2 linked regions of the Sus scrofa genome follow. The protein of the gene in region 1 interacts with the protein of each later gene in a pairwise test. Links are inferred from orthologs where the notes say so. Each region holds a gene or a part of one and is shown in the gene's direction. Other genes may lie near its edges.

Region 1 (3,746 bases):
AAGGAGAGAAGTATAAAATTGTTTTTCTGTTTTTTCCACTTTTCTTTTTTTGTTGCTCTTTTTTTTTTTTTTTTTTTTTTTTTTTTTGGTCTTTTCAGGGCCGCACCTGCAGGTATGGAGGTTCCCATGCTAGGACCCAGGAACTGGAGCTGCAGCTGCTGGCCTACACCACAGCCACAGCAAGGCCAGATCCTTAACCCACTGAGCGAGGCCAGGGATGGAACCTGAGTCCTCGCGGATGCTAGTCAGATGCGTTTCTGCTGAGCCACTATGGGAACTCCCTTTTTTTCACTTTTAAAAAATTAAAAGTGGAGTTGATTTACAGTGCTGTGCCAATTTCTGCCGCGCAGCAGGATGATTCAGTCATATATATATATATATTTACATTCTTTTTGCAGAGAAGCATAAAGTTCTAAGGTTTTTTTGGTTTATTACATATTTATTGAAAATGTTCTAACCTAGGAGTTCCCTGGTAGCCTAGTGGTTTAGGATCCAGCATTGTCATTGCTGTGTGGTGCGGATTCAGTCCCTGGCCCAGAAACTTCTGCATGCTTTGGGCACAGCCAAAAAAAAAAAAAAAAAAAAACAAACAAACAAAAAAAAACGACAACAGCAAAAACACCCAAAACTTAACCTATTACACGTGTATGAAGTTGCTATCTTTCCCTTCCATTTCTCTTACTGTCCCTTCTTTCCTAACGGGTTGTCCCCTCCTCTCCTTTCCCCTGCCTGCACTGGCGGAGCCCTGCTCAGCTGGCGAGAGCCTCCCTGTAGGTACTGCCTTTCAGGGCTGCCCATCTGTCTGCCCCCCTCTGACACATACAGCACCTGCCCCAGCTGATAAGCTACCTAGTCTGTTGCTGTTTTAGCTCCTGTTGGCTGGAAATCAAGTTCCTTTTTCAGTGGCTACAGCCAGTGGCAGGAATGCATAGGTGAGTAAGGGAAACACTGCAGAGGAGATTTCCATGTGTTTGTAAGTCGCACAGAGAAGTTGGCAGCCAGTCTGTCTTTGAGATTCAGCACATTGCTTTTGCTTTCACCTGTTTTTATAGTGTCATGGATTTCGATCCCTGGCTTGAAGTTTTCTGAGTTTTTCCTTTAATAGTTTGTCAAGTTAGAAGACAAGGTTCCCCACCCCCACCCCCACTGACTGCGGAGGGTTCCTAAGTTTACGGATAGAATCCTAATTTACTAAAACGACATGCATCCTTTGATTGCTTTCCATTCTCCATAGATAGGATGCAATTCATCTCAAACCCAAGTTGCACTCTGGCGATATGTACCAATGCAGACATACCCATGGGGGAATAGAAATCTCTGCCGTAGGACCATACATCCCTGTCTGCTTCCAGAAGCAGTAAACATAAATGATAAATGGATAGAGTGATGGATGCATGGCTGCACCCATGCACCTTTGGCTGCCCCTATAGCACATGCAAGTTCCCGGGCCAAGGATGGAATCTGAGCAGCAGCTGCAACCTGGACAGTCGCCCTGGTGACACTGGATCTTTTAACCCACTGCGGGCTAGGGATTGAACCCGAGCCTCTGCAGTGACCCAAGTGGCTGCACTCAGATTCTTAACTCACTGCCACAGCGGGAACTCCGAGGGGTGTGTGTATGTGTATACTTTTTTTTTTTTTTTTTTTTTTTTTTACTTTTTAGGGCCGTCCCTGTGGCATATGGAAGTTCCCAGGCTAGGGGTCAAATCGGAGCTGCAGCTGCTGGCTCACACCACAGCTATGGCAACATCCAAGCCATGACTGCAATCTCCACCACAGTTTATGGCAACGCCAAAACCCCAACCCATTGAGCAAGGCGAGGGATCAAACCCTCATCCTCATGGATACCAGTCTGATTCATTACCCCTGAGCCACAACGGAACTCCCTCCAAAGTGTACTTTTTAAAAGAAGATACAAAAGACTCGAAACTTCTTTATAGCAGTTGATGCTGTGAAGCTTGGTAATCTGTTGTGGGAAAGTGATCTGATTTTCCCCCCGCTTTTTCCAACTGGGGATAAACAATAGCAGTCATCAGACCACTGCCACTCAAACTGGCTGGCAGTCTGCCATCAGGGGAACTTGGCTGGGCCGCTCTAGGGGCAGTGACCCTTTACAAAGTCTAATCCCACCAGAGATGGTTTGAATTGAGTCCTTGGTACAGAGGAGAGGCATAGTCGGAGAATCAGATCGTGGATTCTTCTGTTTGGGGGTACTCCCAGGAATTGGGGGGCACTGCATTCGTAACTGTTTCTGGCCTCACATTCACTTTCGGCTCTCTTCCCTGTCAGCAGCCTTGGCTTCTGGAACTTTCCCTCCCAGGGGCAGGGTCGACACCCTCAGTCTTCCCCAGAGTGATAACGGCAGTAAGTGCCGAGTTAATGCCATGGACTGCAGAGGACCTAGAATTATGGTCCTTTTAAGACAGCAGCCTCTTTTTTTTTTTTTTTGCCCCCCCTGCCACAGCATATCTGCAGTTGCCACCTGAGCCGCAGCTGCATCAACACCGGATCCTTAACCCACTGTGCCAGGCCAGGGATCAAACCCGTATCCCAGCGCTCCCGAGATGCCGCCCATCTCACTGTGCCACAGCGGCAACTCCAAGACAGCTGCCTCTTTAACAAATCAGGCAAAATGGGAGGCGAATGTGTGGCTTGTTAAAAGCTCCTGGTGACGAGACCGTGAGGACGAAGTGGCAGCCCTAAGGGGAAAAACAGCAAAACATTGATTGGTTTCCTGAGCCAGTTCGTTACAAAGGGCCCAGAGCTCCGGGTTCCCACGAGGGCTCTGACGGGTGAGGAGGTCTCTCCTCTCCTCGGTGGCTGCAGCTTTCGGCCAAGGTTCTTAGCAGACGAGCATGTTGACTGCAATGCATCAGAGTCAACGTGGAGGTGGCTCCATGCAGAGCAAATTAACGAACCGACGATGACAGACTGAAGCTTCTTCCCGCACCCTTCTCATGTGCGGTAACAGCTACATTTTCAGAGCGTTAGTGAATAAGTAGGGAAACGCTTCTATCACAGGGCTAATACGACTCTGTGAAAATGCTTTTCTTCCTTTTCCAGTTTCCACCTGATACGCTGGACGGAAAGAGAATCACCTGGGACAGTAGGAGGGGTTTTATAATATCCAATGCAACATACAAAGAGATAGGGCTGCTGACATGTGAAACAACCATCAACGGACATTTGTACAAGACAAACTACCTCACGCTTCGACAAAGTAAGTGATCTTCCAGAAGCCGGAGTGCCCCTGGCTTTATCCAGTTCATGAAACGTCGATTTTTTTCTTAAATGTTACCTTGCTATGCTTGCAGCCAACACAATCACAGATGTCCGAATAAGCACGCCGAGCCCCGTCAGACTGCTGAGAGGTCACACTCTCGTCCTCAACTGCACGGCCACCACGCCCTTGAACACCAGAGTTCAGATGACCTGGAGTTACCCCGGGGAAGTGAGTGACCCTGTTGCTTCTGTAGGACAGTATTTTGTTTGAGCAAAGGCAGTGTCACTGCGTTTTCGAGGTGGGGGAAAAAATCAGAATATTCTGACTCCCGTGGTGGTTTGAGCCAATAAAGAAGCTTTGGGGTTGGTTTGGGTGCTTGTGAACGTGATACGCAAAGATACGGCCTTTTGATGTCTGGGGGCTTTGTTTTGAAGTTGTATAGGTTGGTGTTTCTGTTCCATGATTCTGGGTGGGAAAGGGGATTGTTTTCATCCTTGGAAACTGTTCTCTCGGACTGAGAGAT
Region 2 (4,338 bases), on another chromosome or scaffold:
ACACCGGGACCCCTACACACAGCTGGACACACACTAGGACTTATACAGCTGGACACACACCAGGATCCCTACACAAACACCTGGACACACACCCAGGACCTCTATACACACCTGGGTATGCACCAGGACCTCTAGACACAGGACACACACCAGGACCCCTACACACACAGGAGGACACACCCTAGGACCTCTACACGTACCTGGACACACACCAGGACCCTTACACACACAGCAAGACACACAACAGGGCCTCTGCACACACAGCTGGACTCTCTCACATTCACATCCACGCACAGTATAAATACAAGCCAACCCTCACACAGTCCACAATTTTGTAGCCCACATCAGAGACAAGGAACACACAGGTGTCCAGGTGGGTGCCCCAGACTCCGACAAAGTCACCCCCACCGGCTGACCCAAGGCCGAGCCTTCTGCGGGCCACAATTTCTCTCTCAGCGTCACTGACCTCCCCCCACCCCCGCCCAGCCTGCCGGCCAATCACAGCCGCGCGCGCCTTCCCTCCCGCCCCCATTGCTGCCTCCTCTCGCGCCCGCGGGCGGCGGCCACGCGGTGATCTCACTCCTCTGATTTATCGATCTGGCTCTCGGCTGCCTCGCCCGTCCCCACCTGCCGCGGCCCCGGCCCCCCTCCCTTTGTTTCCCGGCAGCCGGCCCAGCCTGGGGCGGGGCTGGAGGGGGAGGGGGCGGGGAGGGGGATGGTCAGCGCCGGGCTGGGATGCTGGTCCTGGGGTGACCAAGACTGTCCGTTCTCCGTGCAGAAGCGGCAGCCGTGGAGGCCTTGGCGGACGGAGACGCTGGCTGGCCTGGAGGGCTTAGGCCCAAGAGTTCAGTTGGGTTGATGCTGCACGGGGCTACTCAGAAATGAAGGAGGAGCCGGTGATGCTCTAGCCCGTGCCGTGCCCCTGGCTTACAGCCGGGGGAACTGAGGTCCAGGGAAAGGCTGCACAGCCAGCCCAACTCGGCACTCCTGGGTCGGAGTCTGCGCTGTGTGTCCTCGGGCACATGCCTTACCCTCTCTGAGTCTCAGGTTCCCAGTTAGGAAATAAAGCAGGGCAAAATTTTTAAGTACCTTCGGTTGGAACAGAGGGAAGTGAGGGAGATGACCTGAGGGGTTGCAGCGCTCTCCTTCCCGGACCGTGTCTCCGCCCCTCTCCAGACCTCAGTTTCCCCACGTCAAAAAGGGAAGAAGGAAGCTATTTATAAGGCTCTCCCACCTCTGTCCTAGGAACCTGGGGACAAGTGGGGGGCGAAGTAAGGGGGTCTCTGCCTGGGTCCTGGATTCGGAACCTCTCTCCCTCCTTGGCTACCCGACTCATGCCAGCGCCTGTGTCCTCGTAGGGCCTCAGTTTCCCCAGCCTCCCTACCAAGCATCTGGACGCCGAGGGCCGGGGGTCCCAAGGGCGCAGCCCCCCGCGGCTGCGCGCTGGGCCGGACGGATGACATCACCGGGCCAGGGGCGGGGAGCGAGCGGGAGCGAGCGGGAGGGAGCGGGAGGGCCTCCTCCCCGCCAGGCGCAGCGCCCGGTCGGGCTCGGTCGGGCGGCTGCGGCCATGACGCAGGGTCCGGGCGGGCGCGCGCCCCCCGCGCCCCCTGCACCCCCCGAGCCCGAGGCGCCCACCACCTTCTGCGCGCTGCTGCCGCGCATGCCGCAGTGGAAGTTCGCCGCCCCTGCCGGGTTCCTGGGCCGCGGCCCCGCAGCGGCGCGTGCAGCGGGGAGCGCGGGGTCCACTGACCCCGAGCCTGAGCCCGAGCCGGCCGACTCGGCCGGCGTCCCGGCGCTGGCAGCCGCGGTCCTGGGTGCTTGCGAGCCGCGCTGCGCGGCGCCCTGCCCCCTGCCTGCTCTCAGCCGCTGCCGGGCCGCCGGTACTCGGGGGCCACGGGGCGCGCGGGGAGTGGCCGGGCCCCCGGACGCCGCCGCGGACGAGTGGATCCGCAAGGGCAGCTTCATCCACAAGCCGGCGCACGGCTGGCTACACCCAGACGCCAGGGTCTTGGGGCCCGGGGTCTCCTACATCGTTCGGGTGAGTGCGCCGGTGGGACCCCTGGGATCCCATCCTCCCTGGAGCCCCAATCTGGGAGCAGGGGCTCCCATCCCCCACTTCTTTCTCTTGCAACCCTGGACCCCGAGAGCCAGGTCTCTTGGCTCCGTCCCTCCTCCTCTCTCCATCACCCCATACCCCCACCGCCAGCCCGCTCTCAGCTGGTCGCCCCCACCTAGGAGGTGCTGGGTCCAGGTTCCCACGGCGTCACGTGGGGAGGGGCGGGGAGAGGGCGGATGGTGGGAGCGGGTCACGCATGCGCATGTTAAGCGTAGACCCCCTTCGGGTTGGCGGGGGAGTCTAGGGAGTGAGGACGAGGCTGGGTGCATCCTGGCACTCAGACCCTACCGAAAGCTCCTCTGACCGCAGAGCTGGAGACCTTGGCCTGAGGTGGGGGCTCGGGGAGGGGGTTACTGGAAGGTCCATTGCCTCCGCTTGGCTCCAGGATTGGAGATGTGAGGCTCAGGAGACTGGAAGGAGAGGTAAAGACATGGGTCTTTATGTGTCCTGGTTTTATCATGAACTTTTCGGACGCGCAGAAACGTGTAACGAGTGGCTCGCCTTTACACGGGTTGTAGGCTCCCCGCTCTGCATCTCTGGCCTGTGTGTAGTTTCCGATGAACCATCGGTAAGCAAGAGGGATGACCTCTGTGAATTGCTTCCATGCAGGCTGTCCACCCGCACTTCGTTGTAACATCGAGGGTCTGACAGTATTTGCAGCCTGTCTACTTTTTGGACCGGGATCCTGGAGGTTTCAGAGTTTGCATTTGCTTGTTCTGTCTTTGCTTCCTTTACTACAGTCTGCAACACCTCTTTTCCTCCCTCCTCCCGCACTGGGTAGAGTGGTATCCCTGCATATTCATTACCTTAGGAACCCATGGATGTGGCCTTCTTTGGAAATAGTCTTTGTAGATATCATCAAGTTAAGATGAGCTCACATTGGGTGAGGGCATCCCTAATGCAATTTCTGGTGTCCTTGTAAGAAGAAGGAGGTTATAACACAAACAGGGAAGGGTCACCTGTCAAAGGGGGAGAAAGGGAGTGATGGGTCCACAAGCCAAGGGTCCCCACTCACCACCACCAGATGCTGAGGGAGGTGGGAAGGGCCCTTCGCTGGAGTGTCCTCCACCCACAGCATGGCCCTGCCACACCTTGATCCCCAATTTCTAGCCTCCAGAACTGTTGGGTTAGGGTTAGATTCCTGGTTTTTTCTTTTTTTTTTAGGGCCAAACTTGTACCATTTGGATGTTCTGGGCTAGGGCTTGAATTGGAGCTGCAGCTGCCATCCACAGCCACAACAACTTGGGATCCCAGCCGTGTCTGTGACCTACATTGCAGTTCACAGCAACGCCAGATCCTTAACCCACTGAGCAAGGCCAGGGGTCTAACCCGCATCCCCATGGATACTAGTCAGGCTCATAACCTGCTACGCCACAGTGGGAACTCCTAGCTTTCTGTTGTTTTAAGCCCCCAATTTGTGATGCTTTGTTATGGTGGCCCCCAATGGCCTTGACTTTCTGTGCACCCCAGGCCCTCACTCCTCCATCTGTGGTCCAGCACTGCAGCCCCAGGAGGCTGCAAGAAATGCAGAGCTTCAGGCCTGGCTGCAGGCCTCAGGTTGCCCCACATTCTGGATCTGTCTTTTTTCTCCTGGCATCTTCTCACTTGGCTGTGGCCCCCTTTTTTTTTGTTGAATCTCAGCTTCCCTGGACTCGAGCCTGATTTCATGGCAAGATGTCTCCTGGGTGATGCTTGGGCTTCACACCACAGCCCCTCAAGGGCAGACCATTGTCTGCCCATTGGCCAGGAGCATGGGGATTAGGAGTGTTCAGAGTTCAGACACTTGCGTCGTAGGGGTGCAAGCTGTTGGATTATTCCAGTGATCTTGACTTTTTCATCCATGCAGCAAGCCTACCCCCCTCCAGGTGCTGATGGTGTGGTAGGAAATGAGAAAGAGCTGATCCCTGCTCTTATGGGGCTTAGGTTTCTAGAGGGAGGGAGTGACAGTCAATAAAAAAGATAAGCAGGAGTTCCCATCGTGGCTCAGTGGTTAATGAACCCGACTAGTATCCATGAGGCTTTGGGTTCAATCCCTGGCCTTAGTGGGTTAAGGATCCAGCGTTGCTGTGAGCTGGGGTGTAGGTCACAGACACTGGTCAGATCCCACGCTGCTGTGGGTGTCGTAAAGGCTGGCAGCTACAGCTCCAATTCGTCCCTTAGCCTAGGAACCTCCATATGCTGTGGGTGTGGCCCAAAAGAGACAAAAAAAAAAAAAAAAT

The links. The genes of interacting proteins can lie anywhere in the genome.
Region 2: the proteins of FLT1 (region 1) and SHC2 interact in a two-hybrid assay, tested with the Homo sapiens proteins (2 studies listed by BioGRID). The link is inferred for Sus scrofa from reciprocal best matches to the Homo sapiens genes FLT1 and SHC2.

The regions. Positions count from the first base shown.
Region 1 is NC_010453.5:5,739,600-5,743,345, reverse strand, and holds part of FLT1 (vascular endothelial growth factor receptor 1), read left to right. Parts: intron 1-3,063; coding exon 3,064-3,220; intron 3,221-3,314; coding exon 3,315-3,451; intron 3,452-3,746. UniProt on the Homo sapiens protein: Tyrosine-protein kinase that acts as a cell-surface receptor for VEGFA, VEGFB and PGF, and plays an essential role in the development of embryonic vasculature, the regulation of angiogenesis, cell survival, cell migration, macrophage function, chemotaxis, and cancer cell invasion.
Region 2 is NC_010444.4:77,810,885-77,815,222, forward strand, and holds the start of SHC2 (SHC-transforming protein 2), read left to right. Parts: upstream 1-1,494; 5' UTR 1,495-1,570; coding exon 1,571-2,041; intron 2,042-4,338. UniProt on the Homo sapiens protein: Signaling adapter that couples activated growth factor receptors to signaling pathway in neurons. Involved in the signal transduction pathways of neurotrophin-activated Trk receptors in cortical neurons.